Linked DNA regions of Mus musculus: all the other regions are reported to be linked to region 5. The links are microRNA targets in miRTarBase. Many come from high-throughput screens and were not tested one by one. Region 5 holds a microRNA gene; each other region holds the end of a gene's coding sequence.
The links. The annotated mature microRNA mmu-miR-1195 reads UGAGUUCGAGGCCAGCCUGCUCA and lies in region 5 at 2,039-2,061, shown strand. An mRNA with a match to its seed (bases 2 to 7 or 8) in the 3' UTR can be bound and repressed. Matches are read on the target gene's strand: a 7mer-m8 pairs with bases 2 to 8, a 7mer-A1 pairs with bases 2 to 7 and ends in A, and an 8mer does both.

Region 1: miRTarBase lists Ebna1bp2 as a target of mmu-miR-1195. Seed matches in the 3' UTR shown: 7mer-A1 at 1,261-1,267.
Region 2: the mRNA of Ppfia3 is a reported target of mmu-miR-1195. Seed matches in the 3' UTR shown: 7mer-A1 at 1,691-1,697.
Region 3: miRTarBase lists Arhgap19 as a target of mmu-miR-1195. Seed matches in the 3' UTR shown: 7mer-A1 at 2,828-2,834 and 8mer at 2,856-2,863.
Region 4: the mRNA of Tigd3 is a reported target of mmu-miR-1195. Seed matches in the 3' UTR shown: 7mer-A1 at 4,064-4,070 and 7mer-A1 at 4,035-4,041.

Annotation. Positions count from the first base shown.
Region 1 is chr4:118,625,535-118,630,638 of GRCm38, forward strand. It overlaps Ebna1bp2 (EBNA1 binding protein 2), which reads left to right. Exons shown (of 9, transcript NM_026932.4): 8 at 1-151; 9 at 286-2,242. The coding sequence ends at 336. It overlaps D4Ertd617e (DNA segment, Chr 4, ERATO Doi 617, expressed), which reads left to right and starts at 870. Exons shown (of 3, transcript NR_029469.1): 1 at 870-1,472.
Region 2 is chr7:45,335,799-45,340,902 of GRCm38, reverse strand. Ppfia3 (protein tyrosine phosphatase, receptor type, f polypeptide (PTPRF), interacting protein (liprin), alpha 3) reads left to right here. Exons shown (of 30, transcript NM_029741.2): 28 at 157-328; 29 at 643-714; 30 at 886-1,777. The coding sequence ends at 701. Hrc (histidine rich calcium binding protein) reads right to left here. Exons shown (of 6, transcript NM_010473.2): 1 at 3,529-5,104; 2 at 3,372-3,442; 3 at 2,948-3,016; 4 at 2,695-2,749; 5 at 2,178-2,214; 6 at 1,930-2,022. The coding sequence ends at 1,986. Among named protein-coding and RNA genes, the nearest start is that of Hrc, 3.1 kb to the right of the region's middle.
Region 3 is chr19:41,765,545-41,770,648 of GRCm38, reverse strand. Arhgap19 (Rho GTPase activating protein 19) reads left to right here. Exons shown (of 12, transcript NM_027667.3): 12 at 453-4,061. The coding sequence ends at 463. Among named protein-coding and RNA genes, the nearest start is that of Gm19424, 21 kb to the right of the region's middle.
Region 4 is chr19:5,887,260-5,892,363 of GRCm38, forward strand. Tigd3 (tigger transposable element derived 3) reads right to left here. Exons shown (of 2, transcript NM_001362045.1): 2 at 3,879-5,104. The coding sequence ends at 4,429. Among named protein-coding and RNA genes, the nearest start is that of Tigd3, 4.3 kb to the right of the region's middle.
Region 5 is chr17:70,857,515-70,862,618 of GRCm38, reverse strand. It overlaps Mir1195 (microRNA 1195), which reads left to right and starts at 2,019; the gene lies at 2,019-2,116.

The sequences.
Region 1 (5,104 bases), not on the chromosome of region 5:
ACGAAGATACAAAAATCAGAAGTTTGGTTTTGGTGGAAAGAAGAAAGGCTCCAAATGGAACACGAAAGAGAGCTACGACGATGTCTCCAGCTTCCGAGCCAAGGTGGCTCACGGCAAGGGCTCCAGGAGGCCTGGGAAGAAAGGGGCAAATGTAAGTGAGGGGTCCAAGTTGGGGCCTGATTAGTATCTTCTCAACCCCCTTTCTACTCCCCTTGACTCCTCACCCTGGCACAGAAGGCCAAGTGCTGTGTGTGACAACATATGGTTTTTGTTTTGTTTGTGCAGAAGAGACCCGGAAAACGAGCAAGACAGAAACTGAAGAGTAAAGCCCGCTGAGTAGCATCATCTTCTATAAAGAACCCAGGAGAAGGGGGGTGTACAGCACACTCAGTGTTTGTCCTGCTTTTTGTAGAAAATTATTTTAATAAATTAAACTTATGGAAGAAAGATACTCTTGGGTTAAAACCAGATACTTTTTAAAAGATGGAGAAGTTTGCACATTAAAGAGTATTGCTGCTGTTGGGCTGTTGTGGTGCACACCTGTAATCCCAGCACTTGGGAGGCAGAGGCAGGAGATCTCTGTTGAGTTCAAGGCCAGCTTGGTCTACAGAGGGAGTTTGGGACAGCCAGGGCCACAGAGAGATGCCCTTTCTTGGAAAAAACAAACCCAAAATCCAAACCAAAAGAATCTTAGTGTTTGTTGGCCATGCCTCTCTTTTGGTAGCTGCAGGGCGGGCCTCCACCTTACCGTTTCTTCGTCTCCCAGATGCCCTTTTACATTAGTCCCCCGGGAGGACTGGCTGTGGCAGGTTCCTGTGAGAGCCCGGGTCTGCCATAAACTGTTACATGGTCTCTGTTTTAGGCCATCTAGATTGGTCCCTTACTTCCTGTGCCTGGTATTTTCCTTTCTTATTTTATGCCTTTTGTTGTGTTCCATTTTTAAGATCTTTTAAAGAAAGGAAACAGGAAAAATTTCCACCTCCTATTCTGAAAGCGACTTTAATTTGACTGGTATGAATTGTGGCTTAAGATGCGAGGGCTACAGGCAGGGTCCTGCTGCCTCCCTTGGCCATGAGGACCGTGGGGCTTCTCATTCCCGTCCTTCCCTCCTAAGCTTTTCTGACAGTGGAAGCCTATGTATGGTGCTCTGCTTTCTGGGCTGGTATTTATTCTTTGATTAGGCTATTTAGAAAGATTCAGGTTTTAAAAAATATATTGTTTTTCAAGACAGGGTTTCTTGGTTTAGCCCTGGCTGTCCTGGAACTCACTTTGTAGACCGGGTGTCCTCAAACACAACAGACATTGCCTGCCCCTGCCTCTGCCTCCGGAGTGTTGGGATTAAAGCTGTGTGCCACTTTATGTGACAGATTCAGGCTTTTATCTGCCTAGTAACCCCTCTCTGCCATTTTATCATCTCAGGAACTTGTGCTTTCCCACAGTTACAGTGTCCTGATGTTTCCTGGATGGGAATGGTAAGTTTTGAGAATATTTTCTTCTGTTCCCTTCATCCTGTTTGAACTGTTTTCTTCCTTGGACATTTGGCTCCAAATTACATTTTGTTTTGAGACATTCTCAAACTGTAGCCCAAGCTGGCCTCAAACTGCTCCCCCTCCCTCTGCCTCCTAGTGCTGGGATTGTAGGCTTGCTGGCATCCCCATTCAGATGCAGCACTTTAGTGTTAATGGCTATAGTGTATATGTGTACAGTGTTGATGGTGATCAGTCAAGGTAATGGGCGTTTGTATCTCGTTCTCACTGCCGGTGCCCAGAGCTTCCTGCTTCTAAAAGGGCAGATGGCTGTGTATTAGGCAGACCTGCCTCTGTGCTGTAGACACTCAGTTTTTATGGCTCTCTCTACCCTGTCTCCCTTTCTCACGTTAAACACTGCCCACTTCACAATTAAGGTATAACCCTATATTCTATATCCTTAAGCAGTCCCTCATTTGGGATTTATTCTGCTGGGGTTTTGTAGTAATATACCTGTGATGGTTTGCATATTCTTGGCCCTGGGAGTGGCACTATTAGGTGTGGCCTTGTTGGAGGAAGTGTGTCACTGGGGGTGGGCAATGAGACCCTCCTCCTAACCAGATGGGAGCCAGTCTTCTAGCAGCCTTCAGATGAAGATGTAGAACTCTCAGCGGTGCAATGCTTGCCTGGACTCTCATGCTCCACCTTGATGATAAAGGACTGAATCTCTGAACCTGTCATCCAGCCCCAATGAAATAAATGTTGTGCTTATAAGAGGTTGGTCATGATGTCTGTTCACAGCAATGCAAACCCTAAAACACTACTTTGTTGCTCTATCAAAATACCTGAGTTGAAGTACTTCATAAAGAAGGGTTATTTACCTCAGCTTTGGTCAGTTTAGGTCCAGAATGGTAGTGCCTTCAGACGAGAGCAGCGGTGGCATGATGATGGTAGGTCTTACAGCAAGCAGAGGTTGTGGGGCCAGCCTTGTTTAACTTGCTTTTGTAGGAACAAAATTTGTGACACAGGTACCAACTCCACCAATGTCAATGCTCCTGGGACCTAATACCTGCCCCTAGGACTCATCTCTTAAAGGACCCCCTCATCTCATCACTTAAAGGATTGTGTACCTTCAGCATGTGAGCCCCTGGGGGGCAGATGGGGTCTGGATACAGGGGCAGCTTTCCGTAATGTCTGCTGAGCCTTGCTGGTTGGGTTGGAGATGCTGAGGTGCTTATGAGAGACTGCAGGTGTGCTGTGTGGCCCCTCTGGGTCCTGCTGCTAAATGGGGTAGTAACCAGCTTGTCTCTGCTCTCCTCTTTGCTCCTGAAATCATGCTTTGTTTTTAAGAAAGTTGAAAATAAGAACCACATGTATTACTAAGAAGATTTTCATGTTTTCTTATGGCATGCGGGTGCACACATGAGACAGTTGTGGTTTTATATGCTAGTGAATTTCTAGAAGCAAATAGTTTTGATCTCATTTCGGCTAAGTTCTGGTGGCACTGTTGTGTTTTCAGAAGACCTGATATTAACAGTTGACAGCACTCTGGGGTGTAGTGTAACCTCATCAGCCCAGTGGGAGCTGCAGAAGTAGAAGCTTTGAGTTCTGTGTGGAACATATTGAGATTAGGAAAACAGCTTGCCATGCTGAGTTATGAATACCACACCCTTTTATACAAGACTTAGAAGTGTCTTTCGCCCGTTTTCCTGGAGCAAAGGCATACGAGCAGAATCCATTGTTTCTTTTGTAGGACTTCTATCATGTCGTCTTATTATTCCGTCCCTGAAAATGAATTGACCAGTATGCACAAGTAGTATCTGTATTGCTTGAGGTAAAAATGTTGTCTTACTTTGAAAGTGAGGTTGTTCTTAAGGCTGCGTGCATGGACTTTTCAGAGTCCATGCATGGCTGTCATTGTGCCTGTCACTCATTTTTAAAAAACTCATGGATAGCACAGTGTAGTTCTCTTGCCTTCTTGTCCCCAGGCATAAACCCACATATAATTTAAGTCATTATGAGAAGTGACTGGCAAATACAAATGTGTGCACAGAAATGAAATGCTAGGACAAGCAAGCAGTGGTGTTACTATGGAAATAGCTGACATTGGGGTGTCATTACTAGATGTTCTAGACACGGGACATACACTCATACTCGGTAAAGGAAAACTTAGTCACGTGAACACAGGGATGTTCCCAAAGAAGTGACATTAGCAACAGACTTCAATGAAACCTTCAGAGACTTCATGACGTGGAAAACACAAATGGTTAAGATGTTGGGTGAGAATCTAGACATGGGCTATAGAAAGGCAACTTGCCGTGGCAGAGGAAAGAAACGGGCCAGTTAGATGACTCAGTGGTTAAAGGTGCTTGCTGCCAAACCTAATGTCTTTTGAGTTCAATCCCAGGGATCCACATGGTGGAAGGGCAGAACTTACTCTTCCAAGTTGACCTCTAACTTTCACATTTATGGGCACACAGGTGCACAATACAAAGTGTAATGTTGAAAAAACGATGCTTCATGGTAGAGCACCTACTTACTGCATACTAGGTCCTGGGTTCCGTCCAAACACAAAAAAGCTTACTCAATGTCACAGTGATGTGGTAAGACAGGTGAACATTGGAATCATAGTGTGCTGTTTTACATTACAGCCTACTAAGTGCACACTGATTTTACAAATTTTCTTCTGCATTGTCAACCATTAATGACAGCTATACTTTGGATGATTTGGGGAAAGATGAAAACAGAAATATGTTGACTCTTTGAAAAGGAACCGTCCTGTGGGAACACAACGATCACTTTCAGAGTTAACCTTAGTGGGCTGGAGAGAGTTCAGCAGTTAATAGCTCTGGCTGCTCTTCCAGAGGATTCCCAGCACCCACATGGCGAAGAGCTTTATTTCCAGGGATCTGATGCTTGCTTTTGGCCTCTGCAGGTACCAGGCGTACTCATGGTGCACATTTATACATGCAGTCAGAATACACATAATTTATTTTTTATATCATAAAGATTCACTTCTGCGCCTCAACTCTACTTCTTAGGCACTCAAGTGATTGGAATGCCTTCCAAAGTGATCACTGACTGAATGCCCAATGGGATCTTCTGGTGTTCTCAGTATAAGATATTAAGTGGAAGTCATTGGGTCTGAAATGCATGTGTGTGAACTGACAACCAAATCAGATGATACCGGGCCACCCAGTGCCACTGTCCAGGCTGCTGTTGACAGTGTTCATATGGTGTTGCTCTGGATGGCGGGGACTTTGGTGAGACCAGGAGGGTAAAGGCTTCCTTGGGCCAACAGAAATGAAGACACAGAAAACAAGGAGAGTGGATGCTTGGGTTTTGTATCTGCTGACATTTCCAAGCCTCTCCCTTCACAACCTGGGAGTGGTGCACAACATTTCCTGTGTGATTCAGGCAACAGAAGTATGGCTCTATGTAGCCACTCTAAAGACCGCAAGGCGCCCCATGCTGGCTCTCATTGTGTATATCAGTCCACCATTGTTCACATAGAGGCTTCTGTGAACAGAATAGAACTGATCTTTAATCAGACCTAATGTGTACGTGAGTCTATGTCCTGTATCCTCAGAACAATTAAGCCTCGAGGATGAGATCTGCATATATTAGTGTTGCTTTTC
Region 2 (5,104 bases), not on the chromosome of region 5:
AGGTCTAGTTTCCCAAGTTGCACTTACAGATCAGCGCTGAAGGGGTGGGGCTTGGCATTGCCAACCAATTGTGATTGGATGCTGAATTTAGCGAGGGTCACGATTAATGGGAACTTGTGCCCGCCTCCCTCACCTTGGCTCCTCTTGTACATCTAGGACAGTGCCAAGTCCTTCAGCCGCTCCCCATCCTGGAGGAAGATGTTCCGCGAGAAGGACCTCCGGGGTGTAACCCCCGATTCAGCCGAGATGTTACCCCCCAACTTTCGCTCAGCTGCCGCAGGAGCCCTAGGCTCTCCCGGGCTTCCTCTCCGCAAACTGCAGCCTGAAGGTAAGGGACTCTTAAAAGTAACAGTCCAGATCTTGTTCACCTTCCATCTATCTGGTCTAGCCTACCTGCCTGGGCTACAGGAGAGTTCAAGACAGTCAGGGCTGCTTAGTGAGATTGCTTCCAAAAGTAAAAAGAAGGCTGGACATGTAGCTCACTGGTGAAGGAACCGCCTAGAATCCCACAATGAGAAACTGTGGGTGTGTGGCTCAGTGGAGGGCTTTTGACTAGCAATTCCGTGGCCAATCTCCAGTATTGGGGGATTTCTTGGGGGAGACTAGGGTAGTTCCAGGTTAAAGCGCTGTTACTCTCTCCAGGCCAGACTTCTGGGAGTTCGCGAGCAGATGGTGTTTCGGTCCGGACTTACTCCTGCTAGTGTGCACCTCCAGGTGAGTACTCTGCTAGGTGATTTTGGGGGGTTCAGGGTGGTACAACGGGAACGCGGGATGGCGTGCCAGATGGTTCCCACTCTGTGAACTGTCTGACCTCAATGAAAGTGACCTCATTCTCACTCCTATGAAGACCCCTCCGAAGGCTGGGCCGTTTTCCCTCCTTTCCAGAGCATTGTCTAGCAGGAGACCGCCGTGAGGGAGCTCGCCCTACGGACTGCACCACCTATACATACCAGCCGGGTGTGCGTGTTCCCGCCTCCCAAATGGACTGGGCCTGGACCAAACCATAAGAAATGGACTGAAAGGGGGCAGCCGAAGAAGAGGACAGGAAGAAATCCCACCCCAAACTTCCGTCTCCCTTTTCTCAACTTTGTAATTTATTGATGATCCGTTTCGAATGGGAGTCAGGCGCCCTGCACCTGCGGAAAGGGGGCGGGGCTTCCCTCTCGGGCCGCATGCGGGGAGATGCCACCCCTCCCCTTTCTATTGCCCAGTCGCGGGGCCCAAGTCTTCCTTCTCCGTCCGCTAGGAGGGGAGGGGAGACTCGCTGCTACAAGCCTCGCCCCATTCCCCAGCCCCGTGCCACTCAGTCCTGCCCCGCTGCGTCTTGTCGCCAGTCCTCCGGGTCATCTGCAAGCGGGGTTCCCTGACCCTCCCCCCTGTCTCGTGTTCCCCGGGGCCTCCCCGCCCCCGTGCTATGGCGGTGTCTGTGCCCAAGGGTCAGGGACGCAGCACTGCGTTCCCATTTCCCCTCTGGCTCCGGGGTTTGCATGGGAAAATCCCTCTGTCAACTATGCCGCTGGCGATGTGGCTGGGGAGAGGACGGACAATGGGGGAGCCCCCACCCCGACTCGGCCTCTTGGCTCCAGGCGTTACTCAGTGATCACGGGTAAAGACCTACTGTTTCAAAAGCTCTGGTGGTGACCAGCCTTTTTTTGAGACAGGGTCTCACTTTGTAGTCCTGGCTGGCCTGGAACTCAATGTAGACTAGGCTAGCCTCGAATTTACAGAGATCCGCCTGCCTCTGACTCTGCACTGAGATTAAAGGTGTGTGCCACCAGTCCTAGCTTTTGTTCTTAAGATGTTAAGAACCCAAACCAACCACCTCCAGATCTAGGGGTCGAAGCTGTCCTGTTTTGGCTCTCTAAGAGAGGCCGTTGCCTCACCCTGCCCTCTGTCTCCCCAGGACACACCCCACTCGGGACACTGCTGTTTCTAGGAGCACATTTATTCAAAGAAATAGATGCAGCTCTTGCCAGGCGGCCAGGTCAGGGCTCTGGAGTCTCCAACATGTCAGCCAGGGCTCTGGACAGGAGAGCAGGAAGGTTAGTTAGTCAACGTGCAGCCACTGAGCCTGACCATGGAGTCCAGGCTGTCTCTTTAACTCACAGTGGGTCAACCCTTCTCTAAACGGGTCCCTTGAACGGCATCATCTCCCGGCCCAGCCCCCACACACTTACTGATACAGAGAGGAGGAGAAATAGTCAACGTAGCTTCCTGTGAGGGAGCAGAGAGAGAAAAGGTTTGAGGGACCTCCAGGATGGGCAAACAGTCAGGGCAGTGCGGAAATGTGGTGCCCAGCCCCCTTCTAATTCCAGCCTCAAATTCAATCCCAGCCCTTCTTGCTTTGGACCCTCCAGCAGCTCCGCCCCTCAGAGTCTATTTACTTTGGTCCCACCCACTCACTTCTAGGGCTGCCCATCAACATCACCTCAATCTTAGCCTGAGAGATCAGATTCTGCCCACATGACCTTTGTCATGGCCACACCTCCTATCCCACCCATTTAACCTCAGACCACAGTCTCGGTTCACATCTCGGCTTGGCTCCAACCCCACTAGGATTCACTTTGTTGGGCGCAGTCCCCTTTGTGGGTGGGTGCCTCATTTTGCTGGGCCCGCCCCCTCTGTGGGTGGGTGCCTCACTATGCTAGCCCCGCCCCCTCTGTGGGTGGATGCCTCTCCCTGTTTGCTGCTCACCTGGAGTGCAGAGCGTGTCACACACCAGCGGACAGAGGTAGCAGAATTGACAGTGCTGAGGACAGGGAGAGAGCCTGGTCAAGGGACTGAGTCAGGGACAAAGACGAGGAAGGACCACCCAGGGTCTAAGGCCAGGTGGAGGGTCACACGGGAAGGAGGCATGAAGTGATGTAAGGACAGGATTATGCCTTGGGCACTCCGGTGGTCCCTGCCAGCTTGGGACCTGAGCTTAGGGGCTCTGGGAAGGTCTCACCTGACACTGGTCACAGTGTTCCCCCATGTTCTCCTCATCACAGTGACAGCTTTCACATTCGGTACATCGCTGGGAATAGGAAGCGCCTGGTTAGAGGGACCCCTAGCCCCAAACCCCTCGGGAGAAAATCACTTCAGCTGTTGACCTCCATGTCTGAACTCAGAGTCCCCCTCTTCTCTGGGGACACCACCCACCCTGGTTTCCCATCCCAAGACAACCCCAAGCCCATGTGACCCGTTCACTGGAGTTTGGGACCTGTGAGTGCTCACACAGACACCTGCCTGCCACCCTGTGACCCTCACCTGGAGACCTTAACCTTATTTCCCCAGTGGCCCCACCCCCAGCTTTGCTCCTCCCACTCCCAGGCTCTCAGGCCCCCATGGCACCCCAGGGTGTGCTGAGCAGCTCTGGGCTAGGGACCTACGTTGCAGAAAGAACAGTAGCCACACAAAGACCCTGGCTGGTAATTTTCGTACTCCTGGGCATCCTGCTGACCTGTGGGGACAGGAGGGCAACAGTGACTCGAGCTGGCCAGCTCTGCCTCCCTCCCCCAGCCTCACCCGTGGAGCCAGGTCACTTACCTGTGACCTCACGGCTCTCCTCTTCACTGGAACCTTCTCTGGCCACCTCTCTCCCAGCGAGTGGGTTTGGGATAATGGTGAAAGGTAGTAGGTTTTCCTCCAGGATCTCCTCCTCTTCCTCCTCCTCTTCCTCCTCCTCTTCCTCCCCCTGCTTCCTATGATGGCTCAGTGGAGCTGAAACTGCAGCCCTGTCTACCTTGCTTTCTTTCTCATCTTTTTCTTCCTCTTCATCATCTTCCTGGCTCATGGGGAGGCTATGGCCCCCCTCTTTCTCCTCCTCCTCCTCCTCCTCCTCCTCCTCCTCCTCCTCCTTCTCCTCCTCACTATGGGCTTGCCTCTGCTCTGGGTCTTCATCTCCCTCTTGAGAGCTGTGGTCACCTTCCTTCCTTGATTCTCTTGAACTGGGTCCTGTGGGTTGCAGGGGCTGATGAGCAATCTCTCCCTGAACAGGCTCTCTGTGACCCTGCCTCGCCCTTTCATCTTGATCTTGTAGCCTGTGGCTGGGGGCCTTGTGGCCAAACTCAGTAGAAATGTCCTCATCATCACCCCTGGAGGCTCTGTGGTGGTGATGGCCTGGGACTTCATTCATGTGTTCTTCTAGAGAGTCCTCCTCCCTGTCAGCATTGTGGCCTTGGGGACGGTGGCTTGCAACATGGTGGCTGTACTTGACTGCTACCTCTTCTTCACTCTCACGTCCAAGATCATGGTGAGCATGTCTAGGAGACTGGTGCCAGTGTTCAGTGGATACAGCCTCATCTTCCTCTTCCTCATTTTGGTGGCTTTGGCGGCCATGGCTGGGGACATGATGGTAGTCTTCTTCTGAGTCATCCTCATCATCTTTGTGCTCATGGTCTCTGTGTCTGTGGGCTTGATGCACATGCTCAGTAGAGTCATCATCTCCATCATCATCATCATCATCTTCTTCTTCTTCATAGCCTTGGCGTCCATGCCTGGAGACATGATGATCATCTTCATCTGACTCATCCTCATCTTCTTCCTTCCTGTGGCCTTGGGTCTGGTGCCGGTGCTCAGTGGAGTCTTCTTTATCTTCATCATCATCATCATCATCATCATCGTCATCTTGCTCTTCGTTGTGGCCTTGGTGGTCCTGGGTATGGTGTCTGTATTCACCAGAGTCACCGTCTTCATCATCATTTTCATCTTCTCGGCCTTGAACTCTGTGGGTGTGACTGTCTTCATCTGAGTCCCCATCGTCTTCCTCCTCATGATCCTGATATCTGTGAGCTTGGTGTCCATGCTCAGTAGAGACACCATCGTCATCGTCATCATCACTGTGGCCTTGGTGCCTGTGGCTGTGGGCATGATGGAGTTCATCTCTCTCCTTTGAGTGGCTCTGGTGACCATGGACCTGGTGTTCATTATCATCAGAGTCCTCCATCACATCCACCCTCTCCTCCTCCTCTCCTCCATCATCGTCATCATCTTCCTCTCCGTGGCCATGGTGGGCATGCCTGGGGACGTGACGGTGATACTCACTGGAGACAATGCCATCCTCATCTTCGTGGCTGTGGCTCCTCTGTCTGGGGAGGTGGTTCTCTGCCGAGTCTCCTAAATC
Region 3 (5,104 bases), not on the chromosome of region 5:
AATAGCAGGACCTCCGTACTCATTAGACGTGGGTCAGTTCTCTATTGTAGTGTGTGTGTGTGTGTGTGTGTGTGTGTGTGTGTGTGTGCAGTAGCTGATGGGGCAGGTGAGTTTCTGTGGGCTGCAGATTCCACATCTGTGAAACGACAGCGTACTACCCCTGCGGTGGGAAGCTGTGAGGACAAATGAGAAAATGGACACAAGGGCCTGGGGCAATAGCCATCACCACACACGCCCTACTAAGTGGTGACTGTTACAGTCAGTAAGAAGACATAACAAACTGGGTTAGACAAGCGGCGCAGACAATGTTTACTTGGTAGAGTCACACTCTCAAATTATTTCATCGTAAATTTGGAGAGAACACTAAGTGTAGATTTTGTGGCTTTTGGTGGGTATTAAAAAAAAGAAAGTTTTAAAGCATGTCTAATTGTCTTGTTTCTCTTTTAACCTAGGATTCTTTTGAAGGCTCTCTTTATTACTTCTGTCCTCTACAGTGAAGTTTCTCTTCAGTGGGACAAGTGTTATTTCTCTTCTCAGTGAAGCTTGGACCTGCAGCTGCTTGCTGCATTTTGACTTGTGAAAGCCAACTCATACCCTGACCCGACTGATACCTCTAACCCCCTCACTGGATGTCTCTGAAGCTGTGCGTCTGTGGAAGTGCTGTGCTCCGTGTTTGTTTTTAATGTCAGAAGCCACTAGTGCCTGCCCCAGCTTACACAGTGCAGCAGGTAGGCAGGGCCAGCCACACCTACTCAGTGTGCTTAGGTCGGTTGGTTTCTTCAAACAGGATATTTTGTGTTAATTGTTAGTAATATTTTTAAAAGTACTGTAGGTCTTAGTGGAGTATTATTATTTCCAACTGGTATTTGAGGCTTTCCTCTGTGTCAGTAACTGCTTGTTTTAGAAGCCATTATTTTGATAATTAAGCGAATTACAAGTTAAATGCTTTTGACCCCTTTTTATTTTAAGCTTGAGTAATCTCTTTATCTTTGTGTTCAAAGAACTTACAGCTTTCCTAGACAATCTATTATTTCTTGTGTCTAATATAGAGGACTTGACCTGGCAATGAGAAAGAGGTCAGTACAGTGTATTTAACACATCTCAGTTATTAAGCTGCACCCCATACCCCTGTCTTCCCCTTATGATGTGAGATGGCTGTGTGGTTGTTACCTTGGTGATGTGAGATGGCTGTGTGGTTGTTACCTTGGTGATGTGAGATGGCTGTGTGGTTGTTACCTTGGTGATGTGAGATGGCTGTGTGTTTGTTACCTTGGTGATGTGAGATGGCTGTGTGGTTGTTACCTTGGTGATGTGAGATGGCTGTGTGGTTGTTACCTTTGTGATGTGAGATGGCTGTGTGGTTGTTACCTTGCTTCTTTCATTATCATCCTCTCACCTAGAACATGGCTGGTGCCACTGATACACTCTGTGCCTGGTTACTGTCACTTTGGAAATGTCATGATCTGCTACTTAGAGGAGCTTGCTGCAGTGTGCATGTGGTGAAAACAGAAGCAGGCCGAGGGGCTGGTTGGCTTGGGTAGGATGCTGTCACTCATTCCTAGGGATCAAATGTGCTGCTCACCTGTCTCCTGAGAGCAGGTTGGCATCAGGAAAGGCACGAGTGGCAGTCTCTGCAGGGTCCCCAGAGGGAGCAGTTGTTATGTGTCCCCGTAGTCTAGAACAGTTGCTTCCTGCCCATCTCCTTGTCTGGATGGGTACAGGAAGTGGTGGAGCGTGGAGAGCCACTGTCTCCTGAGCCGCAGGTGGCAGTTGCGGATGCTGAGGTATGGGCCTGGCTCTGTGGAACTAACTGTGAAACCATGCTCACCCTACTGTGGGGAACCAGATACCCAGCAAAATACGGTTCCACACTGATGATAGACAGTTGAACTTGTGTTATTGTTGAGATGAAGGCTGATGTTGTCTATCTGTCGGCCCTCTCTTCCATCCTACACTGTTTCATTGCTGTAACAGCAGTGCTGAAGGAAATGTGATGTTTTCCCTTCTAGCTGGATAGTTTGGGAGCATGGAGGTGTGTGATCTATAGTGGATTTTAAGTTCCATTCTCTAAAGCAGTTTTAGGTCATCCTTAAGGATCTTTATTAGCAAATTCATTTGTCTAGGTTTCTGACTCTTTCTGGTGATGTTGTTACTAAGAAAAAGGTTCTTTTCTTTTTGAAATATATTTCTTATGCCAGGTATATAGTGAGGTCAAACAGAAACCTCCTTTGTGTTAGCAAATCAGAGATGTTCTCCTCAGCATGGAGCCTGCTTTCAGTGTACCCCACCATGCTGGAATGTAGCACTATGCAGGGATGCAAGCCAAGCAGTGCCTTGATGCAGCCAGGAGTTACACACTCTGTGAGCAAGAAAGAGAGAGCGCGGGACTGAGGAGCCTAGTGTGGGTAGAGGGAAGCGATGCCCAGGGATGGTCTGGGTGAGAGAGAGGTGCCCCATGCGCTTGCTCTCTGTGGCTGGCCTCTTGGGCAGTGAGTTACCACGTGCATTTGGGAATGTGGATTTCATTTATTTATTGGATAGTCATTACTTGCTGTAAGGGTATTTTAGGTCATTTTTTCTTGTAGAAGCTGTGATCCAGTGCAGAATAGACTTGAGGAAAAGCATAACCTTTTGAGTCTTGTAACATGTGGCTTTGTAACCTGTGGTATCTTCTTGGAAACGCAGACAGAAGCTCCATCGTCGTCACAGAAGGTTGCTGCCGTCCTTCTGACAAGGCGTACAGTTGCTGTTTTGAGCCAGTATTTAACTAATGTTTTTAACTAATGTTTGTTTGAGACAGGGTTTCTCTGTGGTCCTGGCTGTCCTGGAACTCACTCTGTAGACCAGGCTGGCCTCGAACTCAGAGTTTTCCTGCCTCTGCCTCCCCAGGGCTGGGATTAAAGGCGTGAGTGTAGTCACTGCCTAGCTGACCTGTGTCTTAAGGGTTTTTATTATATTTATTTTCCATGTTGGCGTAGTCTTTGTGACAGAACCTTTCTTTTCTTTCTGGGTTAATCGTCATAGGCTTTGATGTTGTGTCAAAGTGTCATCTGGTGGTTATTGTTGCCAACTATGAAGAGACAGATCCTATCTGATCTGTATCTGCACTAGGTAAATGAATAGAGGCTGTGGGCCCTTTCTCTGACGTTCCACAGAAGTGGATTTTCTCACTGAGACCAGTGATCAGGTTTGAACCCGCCCCCGCCCTGTCCCCCCATTCCCCATGTCACATGCACTGTGTAGGGCACAGGTGGGAGACAGTATTGGTTAGAACCAAGTGCTGGAACATTCTAGAAGCACAGCTGATGGGGCCTGAGGGAACCCACAGTGGTCCCTCCACACAGCATGTGCTATACTCTGAAGGTCCTCCCAGAGTCAGTCAGGAGTGATGAGGAAACACCCTGGGGGATGAGGCAGCACAGGATGCTGACTGGCAGGTTGTGTGCTGAGGTCTCTTTTCTGTGACATCCTTTCCTCTGGAGACAGCATCATCCCTGCTCTCCTACACTCTAAAGTCTTCAGACTGAAGTGAGGGTCCAGATCTAAACCAGCAGGACTGTCCCAGAGTTTGCAGAGAATCTGGCTTCCTAAGATGAAGGTTTTGAGTGACCTTAGTCCTGGTAGCCTGATGTCAGACTCCCTGTCAAAAAGCTGGCTTTACTAGGCAGCCAGTGCTGAAAGCTGTGTGGAGGTAGGGCAGTGAGGAGATGGAGGATAAATAATAACCTGAGTGCTTTGTCACCATGGAAACTGGAGTTCCTGAGGCCACAGCCCATGCTGAAGAGCTTTTGAGCATGCCCCTGACATGCTTGGTCCAGAGGCTATAGAGAAGGAGTGCTCTCACCCAAGGCCTTTCAGCAAGGCGTGCCTGTGCACGCTCTGTGTGCTCGCTCGCTCATTTGCTTGCTCACTCGACCCCCAAAAGGTTTCTTAGGAGAAGGTTGTACCTATTTGTTATTTTTTATTATTTTGCATATATATATGTAATTGTAAAGAAACAATCATATATATTGTCTTTTATATTCATGTAATATTCTGAATTAAATTTTTTCTGTTTCATATCTGTGGGTTCTGACTGGTCTCTTGGCTCACGTTGCTTTGAAGAGAGGTAGCTTCCTGTCCTAAGGAACTTGATACTCTACAAAGGGCTCGTCCTGGGTTTTCTAATGGAGGGAGGGGATGTGGGTGGGTTCAGGATGAGTGAGGCTTTGGCTGATGGAAATTTACTTAGATGAGGTAGCACACATCTCTAATCCTAGTACGTGGGAGGCAGAATACTAGGGACGAGTTGAGGCCAGCCTAGACATAAACAAGATTCTTTCAAAACAAAACAAGGCCGAGGCTGGGCATGGTAGCATAACATCTTTAATCTTAGCACTTGGGAAGCAGAGGCAGTGGATCTATGTGAGTTCAAGGCCAGCCTGCTCTATACATATGGAGTTCCAGGGAGGCTAGGGCTGTTTAGAGAGATCTTGTCTCAAAAACCAAAACAACCACAACTAAAACAACAGCTTTGAGCCCCAGGGTAGGTGGCCCCACTCCTTGAGGAGTGCAGGTTGTCTAAGTTGCTGACTTGCTCTGAGTTATTCCATATTGAGTGGAAGTAGCTCTTGGGCTATGTGCCCCCAACAGGCTCTGTTTTACAAAGGACACCCAACTCCCTTTTAGGTTGTTTTTATGCTTTGTGGCTTGATATTAAGGAACAATGAATTCAGTCAAACCAAATCTGTGGGCAGAAGAGAAAGAAAGGAAGCCATCATAGGCCAGAGGAGTGTGCTGAAAGAGCTAGTGAGTGACGAGTCCAGGGCCAGTGTGCTGAAAGAGCTAGTGCAGAGGAACTTGGAAGACTTCAGGTATCCACATGGGCACAGCTGGGGCACTCTGGACACATCTGTCCTCGAGACAGTTGACGTTATCACATTTTATGATCAGAATCTATGGCAGTGGCTCAGAGGGGGCAGAAATAGCCTGAGATAAAAGTGTAATATGAAATAGGTGTGCATTGTTTATTGACAAGAATACATTCTAAGAGCTGGGTGGTGGGGAGGCAGAGGCTGACTAATCTTTGTGAGTTCGAGGCCAGTCTGGTGTACAGAGGTAGTTC
Region 4 (5,104 bases), not on the chromosome of region 5:
GCTAGCCTGGCCTACAAAAACCCTAAACCATGCATGGAGTAGACTTTACTCCTAGCTCCTTATCATCAAAGCTTAGTGGGCTGTCCAAGAAACAGTTCTGAGAGTCCAGGGACGCAGCTCAGGGGTAGAGTGCTTGTCACACAGAAAGCTCTGGATTGGTCCCCTTATCATGTACACGGGGCATGGTGACACACACCTATAATCCTAGCACTAGGTAGGTGGGGGCAAAAGGTCAGGTCAAGGTTTGTTAGATATCAAGTTCAAAGCCAGAATGGGTTACAAGAGACCATGACTCAGAAAAATAAAGTTTTACAAACATGCTTTAGGCTTGCTAACTGAGCAGGATGTGAGGTAACTTCCTAAAGTCTGAGAAATAGGGGACACGAGGCAAGGCTGTGGGGGTCAGGGCTGCCTCCTGGAGTTTAGCATACTAAACCTTGAATTCTTAGGCCTTGGGGAAACAACTTCTTCTTCTTCTTCTTCTTCTTCTTCTTCTTCTTCTTCTTCTTCTTCTTCTTCTTCTTCTTCTTCTTCTTCTTCTTCTTCTTCTTCTCCCTTTTTTGTTTTTTAAGATTTACTTATTTTATGAATGTGAGTACACTGTTGCTGTCTTCAGACACACCAGAAGAGGGCATCAGATCTCATTACAGATGGTTGTGACCCACCATGTGGTTGCTGGGATTTGAACTCAGGACCTCTGGAAGAAAAGTCAGTGCTCTTACCCACTGAGCCAACTCTCCAGCCTCCCAGCCTCCTCCTCCTTGTTTTTTTTTTGTTTTGTTTTGTTTTGTTTTGTTTTGTTTTTTTGAGACGTGGTTTCTCTGTGTAGCCCTGGCTGTCCAGAGACACTCTGTCACTCTGTCATTCTGTAGACCAGGCTGGCCTCGAACTCAGAAATCCGCCTGCCTCTGCCTCCCGAGTGCCTGGCATATTGCATCATCTTTATGTGCCCCCTTCTATTCAGAAGAAACAATTACACATTTTTCTAGAGATGAGCCACTGAGTGTTCCACAGGTTTAAGTTGGAAAGGTGAAGAATTCCCCAATACCCATGATGAAATGAGCAGAGTACCTAAACATATAGCCCCCTCTCTCCTTTCTTGCTGAGACAGAGTGTTACACCCAGCTCTGAGTAGACATCTTTCATGAAAAAGATACAGATAGCCAGCAAGAGCTGGACAAGGGGCTGGGCCAGGTGTTATGTGCCTTTAATCCCAGTTGGAGGCAAGGGCAGATCTGTGAGTCAAAGGCCAGCCTGGTTTACACAGTGAGTCCCAGGTCAGCAGCGGTACATGATGAGACTCTGCCTCAAAACAAGCACTAAAACCAACCAACCAACAAAAGAGCTGGGCAAGCCTGTACACATCTGTAATCCACCCTTCTGGATACACATCTGTAATCCACCCTTCTGGATACACATCTGTAATCCACCCTTCTGGATACACATCTGTAATCCACCCTTCTGGATACACATCTGTAATCCACCATTCTGGACACTGTCGGCAGACAAAAGTTGAAGGCTAAGGTGGGTTAAACACAAAGACGCAGGAATGTTAAATGACTTTGAGCATTATTAAGAGAAATGAGATGAAAAGTGCGATGGTACATTAATTATGTCACCTCTATTAGAACGGCTGTAATACAAAAGGCAAAAGATGAGCCGTGGAGAGGACCCAATGCTAAGAACACTGCTGCACACCCCTAACTCCATCCCTGGAAACCACAGAGAAATCCTGATGTGCTGGTGTGGATCTATGAACCAGCACTCCTACAGAGAGATGGGGAGCTGTGCTACAGAGACAGTTCATTGTTAGGAGCCTTTGTTGTGCCGGGCATGGTGGTGCATGCCATTAAGCCCAGCACTTGGGAGGGAGAGGCAGGCAGATTTCTAAAACCTTCCAAATCTTAAAAAAAAAAAAAATAAAAAATAAAAAAATAAAAAAAAGATAGAAGACAAAAGCAAAAGAATTTAGTGGTGTTGGTTTCATTGCCAACTGAATGAGTGACTAGCTGATCTGCACCTTATTCTCCTACACGGCACACTTGCATCTGTCCTCTGAGACTTCTCTCTCCACTCACCGGGAGAACACAGTTCAGCAGTTCAGCTCCGAGTGCCACCATAACACTGGCCATGAAACAGACAAGAGCTACAGGGTATCTGCCAATATAAACAAGTTTCCCGTGTAATGAATGACCTGGTCATAGGTCAAAATACTAGACCTCAAATGGCTCCCAGGTAAGTGTTCCATACAGTGTGTGTAATATACCCATACTGCAAACACCTACAGCTAACCACTGCTAACACAGGGTTACTATGTCCAATTTACTGGGGGGATCTCAGAACATCTCACCTCCACATATGCCACACCCAGGGGTGCTCCCTCACCCCCAGTTGGCCCATGCTTACTTCCTTTGGTTTGCTATCCTTTCCACTTTTCTCTCTATTCAGGGCTCCAATATCAAAACTCATCACAGGCTGGTGAGACAGCTCAGCAGGTAAAAGCGCTTCCCACAAAAACCTGGAGACCTGAGTTTGATTCCCAGAACCCACATAGAGGAGAAAGGAGAGAGCCAAGTCCACAAAGCTGTCTTCTGACCTACATTTGTGCATGGTAGCAAGTGTGCACGTGTGTGTGCTTCCCCCACCCCACATAAATAATAAATAAAAATTAAAAAGAAAACCAAGGTTGGGCATGGTGGCATACACAATTTTTTTTTTAAGGATTTATTTATTATATGTAAGTACACTGTAGCTGTCCTCAGACACACCAGAAGAGGGCATCAGATATTATTACGGATGGTTGTGAGCCACCATGTGGTTGCTAGGATTTGAACTGAGGACCTCTGGAAGAGCAGTCAGTGCTCTTAACCACTGAGCCATCTCTCCAGCCCCGATGGCACACACCTTTAATCCCAGCACTCAGAAGGTAGAAGCAGGTGGAACTCCAAGAATTTAAGGCCAGCCTGCTCTACATAGTGAGATCCTGTCTCAAAACCAGAACGCTATCACCATACAAACAACAGCAAAACCAGCTCACCTCTACTGGGTTTCACTGGGCTTTGTAGGGCCAAAGCATTCTGCACTTGCCTGTCATTGCTTTCTGGTCCTGCTTTGCAGGGATGTCACCTTTGCAATCTTGCCACATAGGATATCATGATAAAAGGAACTGTGGTAAAATGAATAAATGGATGAAAAGTGTAGTGAATGAATGATTATTCCAGAGCTCATTGCCCTGTCCTGTCCTGCCCTGCCCTGCTGCTGGCCACTACACCACACAGTCTGATGCTGAAGTGGTAAGAACTGCAAAGGTCTGAGTCGCCCTGAGACCTTTCTTCAAGTTTTCTTCTTGTAAGCACGGTCCGTGTATGAAGGGTTCTTCCTGATAGAAAGACTTCACCCTTCTCTCATGTAAGCCATGCTTTGAGGAGGCGGGGGGGGGGGGGGGAAACTCAGTAGGCATAGCACTAGCTCAGTATGCTCAAAGCCCTGGGTTAAGTTTAATACAGAGGGCTGGTGAGATGGCTCAGTGGGTAAGAGCACCCAGCTGCTCTTCCAAAGGTCCGGAGTTCAAATCCCAGCAACCACATGGTGGCTCACAACCATCTGTAACAAGATCTGACGCCCTCTTCTGGAGTGTCTGAAGACAGCTACAGTGTACTTACATATAATAAATAAATAAATCTTAAAAAAAAAAGTTTAATACAGAGTATCACATAAACCCCCATAATCCTGGCCCTAGAGGGGAAGGCAAGCAGACGTGCAAAATCATCTTCAGTCATAGGGCAAGTTCAAGGTCAACCCAGGCTATACAAGATTACATTCCAGAAAGAAAGAAAGGAAGGAAGGAAGGAAGGAAGGAAGAAAGGTCCTCCACATCCTGACTTTGTGGCTAAAAACTTTATTTCCTGAAGCAGAATTGGTTTTGACACAAAAATTCAAGGAATGGGGCCACTGTTAGGAAGTCTGTCCATGCTGTGCGATGGTGGTGCACACCTTTAATCCCAGCACTTGGGAGGCAGAGGCAGGCGGGTTTCTGAGTTCAAGGCCAGCCTGGTCTACAAAGTGAGTTCCAGGAAAGCCAGGGCTACACAGAGAAACCCTGTCTCAAAGAAAAAAAAAAAACAAAAAACAAAAAAAGGAAGTCGGTCCACCTTTCTAGGTTCTACCCTATTTAGACTAACTCTCCACAAAGCTCTAGAAGTTTCTCCAGGGCCTAGAAGCTACACAGCCCAGCTTTCCACTCTTGAGGCCCCATCCGTAGAAACTCTAGGCCTGAACAACTTTTACTCTGACCTTAGACTTTGTGTTCCAACTTCCTTCCCTTCTACACCCTCCACATACTATTTCCACAGGAAAGAGCCAGTCTGTCTCTGGAGAGGCGTTTCCATGGGAAACAGGAGAGGGAGACTAATAGGCAGCTATGCCTCCTCACAGACAGCAGAGCTGCTCCACCTCCACCTCACAGTCATAGAATTTCTCAAAGAGTTCTGGAGAGGCACTGTTGCATTCAAGCCACCTCCTCAGGGTGCACAGTGCCTGCAGGGCATCGGCTTTGGTGGGCAGGGGCTCAAAGCCATCTTCTTCCCTCCCACTGTCTTCAGTACCCGTCTCCTCTTTGCACACTCTAGGCCCTGGGTCCTCATCCTCCAGGTCCACAAAGTGAGAAAACTCCTCTTGGCTCAGCCCACTAGGGACTGGTGACATCTCAGTGTCTTTGTCCAGGGACAGTGGTGTTTTGCCCGGAGCGAGCCCTTCTTGAACAAAGCTGCTCAAAATGAGCTGGCGAGGTACCTTGGCCCAAGCTGCGGCCACCATGTGCAGAGCATCCAAAACTGTGATGCTAGCCCTGGCCTCCGCCAGGGAGGTGCCCTCTTTCCCACTCTGCATGGCAGCCAGTTTGCTCAGTAGACGGTGACGGTAATGGGCCTTAAAGGCCAAAATCACAGAGCCAGGCAGGGAAGGAGTGGTGCTGGAGGCAGAGAGAGGCAGGAGTCGAACGTGATGGAGTCCAGGAAGGCTGGCCCATTCCTCTACCACTCCAGAAGCCAGTAGCAAGGCTACCTGTCGGCCCTGCTGTCCCATGTCCTGGTCAAACTGTGCCAGC
Region 5 (5,104 bases):
TGGTGTCTGGGTGAACTTTTCACTTAGTACGGATTTCTGCTAAATGTACAAGTGCAAGAAAAAAAATTGTAGAGTCAGAAGAATGAGAGGCACAGTGTGGGACACAATGAAAAACACTCAGATGGGGGCTGGAGAGATGGCTCAGTGGTTAAGAGCACTGGCTGCTCTTCCAGAGGTCCCTCGTTCAATTCCCAGCACCCACATGGTGGCTCACAACCATCTGTCATGGAATCTGATGCCCTCTTCTGGTGTGTCTGAAGACAGCAACCCTGTACTCACATACATAAAATAAATAAATCTTTAAAACAAACAAACAAACAGAAAATCACCTAGATGTATTTCAAGAGAGCGCCAGTCAGTTGAAGAGTGTGGAAGGCAGAATTACTTGAAGTAGGGATGTTTTGTCTTTAAACCCCCAGACCAAAGGGAGGAAGCAAACAGGAGTTAGTTACCAGTGGCAGGTAGGGCTGTTCTAGCTTGCTATCTAGGACTAAGTACTCATTACCCTGAGGTAATGGGACTAAGTACTCATTACCCTGAGGTAATGGAAAGCAGGTTGCTTGTGGTTAGAAAAGAGGGCGCAGATATGAGAGGCGGGGAATGGAAGGCAGTGCTGTGTTTGCTGAAATTGGAAGCACAAAATAATGTGGGCCCCTCCTTTCCTCCACTACACCCCATCACACACATACTCTTGTTTTCACATATACTCTTACCTAGGTAGCCCAGAGTGGCCTCAAATTCCAAATTCCCATGCCTATCTCCTAAGTATCAGAAGTATAAATATATAGCTGTTAACCATTGTACCCTGCTTGAATTCATGATTTCCAACATATGAAGGTGTGTGTGTGTGTGTGTGTGTGTGTGTGTGTGTGTGTGTGTGTGTTTAGTTCTGCTGAGAAACCCAGAAGTAAGCAATCATGGTTCAGTAGCAGTGCACTAGACTGGAGCTCATGTTGATGTCTATAAGTGATTCTCTTTTCTACAAGAATAGCCAGCACTTGCTGGAAAAATGATCAGTCCAGGGCTTGGGGACTGGAGCAGGGGAAGTGTAGCATGCACCTGAGACACGCCACTGTCCCAGACGGTAAGAAAATCTTCCAAGAATGGTACAAGAGGACAAGGAAACCGGTTTGGGGACTATTGGTGCTGGCTGCTGCTGGGGCAGGGACAGTCACTGCCTTCAATTGTGTGTTCACTGGGTGAGTCTACCAACTTCAGCGAATGCTTCTATACCCAGTGGCACGTGAACCACTGTGGTTAGACTCAAGGGGTGCAAAACAAGAAGGCATGAAGGGGCTCGAGGGTTGTGCAGAGGTTAAGAGCACCTGTTATTCTTGTAGAGAACCCACATGGGGCTCACAACCATCCAAACTGCAATTCCAAGCATCCAATGCCCTTTTCTGGCCTCTGCAGGTAGCAGGCACACATGGGGCACATGAGTACATTCAGGCAAAACATGTAATATTAAAAAAGAGAGAGAGAGAGACATGAACATGTCAGAGGGACTGGAGGGGAAGATGAGAAGACAGGGAGAATAATCAGAATGCACTGTGTATATATCAAATTGTCAAAGAATAAATTAATAAAAAAACAGTTTGAGGAACTTCCTCTGGGTAAATCCAAGAATTTTTACAATAGTGGTGGTGATGATGATAATAATAATAAGAGGCTATTAATGCACTAAATAAACCAGGACTCCAAATGTCCTGTAAGTAGACAGAGCAGCACAGACAACTGGAGGGGCAGCTCTCCCTACCATAGGACACAGCAAAGCAATGGAGAAGGAATGATGGAGTGAGGAGGCTGAGATTGAAGGCTTCAAAGACAGGACATTCACCTATTTTGATACATTTGATAGATTTATCAACCATAAAGGAAAACATAATGCCCACAGTGGAGAGTTTGGGACACATCACCTTAAACATGAGATCAAGGTTATAAATAAATAAATAAATAAATAAATCTGCCAGGCAGCCGGGCTGTGGTGGCGCTCGCCTTTAATCCCAGCACTTGGGAGGTAGAGGCAGGCAGATCTCTGTGAGTTCGAGGCCAGCCTGCTCAACAGAATGAGTTCTAGGGCAGCCAGGAACACACAGAGAAACCCTGTCTCAAGAAGGTAAAAAGTAAAAAAAAAAAAAAAAAGAAAAAGTAAAAAAGAAGAAGAAAAAAGAAAAGAGAGAGAGAACAGTCTACATTCTGAGGGGAAGCTGTAGTAGCTACACAGTATTGAACACCACACACAAGGCTTATACACACGACACAGTCAAGCCTGCATTATTTGTAGAAATTTAAAATGTCAAGCTAAAAACTTGTTTCTATTCATGAGCACAATGTTAATTTCTTGCCATTTAATGAAGATGCCCTCTTGAGATGGACAGACGGCAGGACAGTCTAAAGCACTGGCCTTGATTGGGTGCACAAGCCTGACTGAGCTCAGTTTGATCCCCAGCACCCACTCGAGTACAAGGGTGTGCCACGGTAACCCAGTGCTCTCAGAAAGAGATGGAGAGTGGAGACGGAGAATCAGCAGAGCTTGCGGACCACCTAGGCCAGAGCACTACTCAGTGAGAAGCAACAGAAGAGACTCCATCCCCCAAAAAAGGTGCAGAGAGAAAACAGACTCCTAAAAGCTGTCCCCTGACCTCCACATGCCTGAAGGACACCTCCCATATCTCTGTGTGTGTGTTTTACAGAAAAAGGAAGGAAGGAAGGAAGGAAGGAAGGAAAAAATATAAAGGTTTTTGTCTTTTTGCCCATGGTCACTTGAATCATGAGACAAAATAAAATTTTCTTCCCTTAAATTGCTTTTTGTGGAGCCTTTGGTTACAATAACTATCCAATTCCAACCACAGGAGGAAAAAAAAATGTGTGAAGATTCGAGTGTATTTCATCAATCAAACAACACAGAACAAACTGAGCACATAGTGTGTCGGGTGCCAGCAGAAAGAATAGAAACGCACATTGAAGAGTAAGCCTGCCGGGCGGTGTTGGCACATGCCTTTAATCCCAGCACTCGGGAGGCAGAGGCAGGCAGATTTCTGAGTTCGAGGCCAGCCTGGTCTGCAGAGTGAGTTCCAGGACAGCCAGGGCTACACAGAGAAACCCTGTCTCGGAAAACCAAAAAAAAAAAAAAAAAAAAGAGTAAGCCTGCTGGAGCAATTTTTTATCTCTTTATTAACCTAAATAATGGGTTATTAGAACTAAAAGCATTAAAGTGCCAACTAGAGATGAAAAGTAATTGTTCTCTCTGGAGAAACATTTAGCCTTAGAAGCAGAAAACAGCAAAAGACAATGGGGTGTATAATTCTGGGGTGACCAGACCTGCCTCTGCCTCCCAAGTGCTGAGATTAAAGGCATGCGCCACCACTGCCCTGCAGACCCAGCCCTTTTGTGAGTAAGTTCAGAGCTACAGATCAGACAAGCTAGAACATTAATCATAACTGCTGATCCAGAAGTGATGTGATGTCTGGGGTTTATATCAAACAATAGAAGTAAGCAGTAGCTTGTAGATGAAGGAAGACAGTTCAGGGGTCCAGAGTACACACTGGCTTTCCAGTCCAGTGGTGTGCAGCACAGTGTGTAGAGCCCTTCCCAGAGCCCAGAGCTTGGATTCCACCTCCTCAGAGAACTAGGTGGTGGGTGATACACGCCTGTAACCCCAGCACTTAGCAGGCTCAGGCAGGAGGCAGGGTCAGCGTCTGGGTTACACAGTAAATTCCCACACCATCCTGGGCCTGAGCTATAGAGTAAGAAGAAAAGGGGGAAAAAATCCACGATTTAAAAAAGTTAAAACGCAAAACCACTCTGGGAATGGTGAACATTGTATCTGAGATTACACATCTCTTTAGGATTTTACTAAAAACAAGATGAGAGAGGTGGCTAGAGAAAGGCTCAGCAGCTAGTTGTCATGGGGTGCAGTTCTAGAGATAGATTCCCAGCACCCACATGGTGGTTTACAACTTCTATAACTTCAGTGCCAGGGGAGGGCACACACACATATAAAAGACAATAGTAAATGTTTTAATTAAAAAAAAAAAAAAAAAAGGTTTTGGGCTGGAGAGGTAGCTCAGTGGTTGTGATTGAAATGTTCTTGCAAATCATCGGAGTCAGTTCCCTGCACCTTTGTTGGGAGGCTCTTGATGGCCATGTCCATGGAAACCTTGTGTGTATATAGGTGTTATACACCTATACACACTTATACACAAACCTATGTGTTCATGTATAGGTGTGTGCACAAAACCTTTTGTGCATACATCTATACATAAACACATAGACACATAATTAAAAACAGTGTATTTAGCTCACTCAGTCAAAGTGTTTGCCTCCCAGGCAGGAAGGTCCTGGACTTAATTTCTAGTTTTACACTAAAAAAAAGATGTAGGCATGGTAAGGCAGGTTTGGAGCCCTGACTCCTAGGAGGTAGAAGCAAGAGAAGCAGAAGTTCGAGGACATTGTCAGCTACCTAGAGAGTTCCCGACCAGCCTGGGATACATGAAAACCTGTCTATAAACAAACAAACAAACGAGTGAACATACAAACAAATAAATAGATGGAAAGGATTTCTTGAGGACCAGTACATATGTATGTTATATACTCTTTAAATATGCTAGAGAGCTTTCAAAATGAGAGTGGAATGTACCAATCTTTCTATATCAAGTATAGTAAAAAAAAAAAAAAAGTAATATAGATGTCAGAGTTTTGTTTGTTTTTGTTTTTCGAGACAGGATTTCTCTGTGTAGCCCTGGCTGTCCTGGAACTCACTCTGTAGACCAGGCTGGCCTCGAACTCAGAAATCTGCCTGCCTCTGCCTCCCAAGTGCTGGGACTAAAGGCGTGCGCCACCACGCTCGGCTCAGAGTTTTAACATCAAGTTTGCTACAGCTGAGGTGTGGCTCAGTGGTCAGTGCTTGCCTAGTAATAGGGAAGTCCTAGGTTCAACCCCCATCACTGCAATCAACAAATAAATGTAAAAATAAAATTTATTCATGTCGCTTGCAAGGGAATAAGCATTCCTGTCACTGAAGAAAATATGAAGGGATTGCCTTGGCTTCTGCAGGACACCCTGTGGAGATCACTCCCCTCTACACAAATACCATTGGACTGGA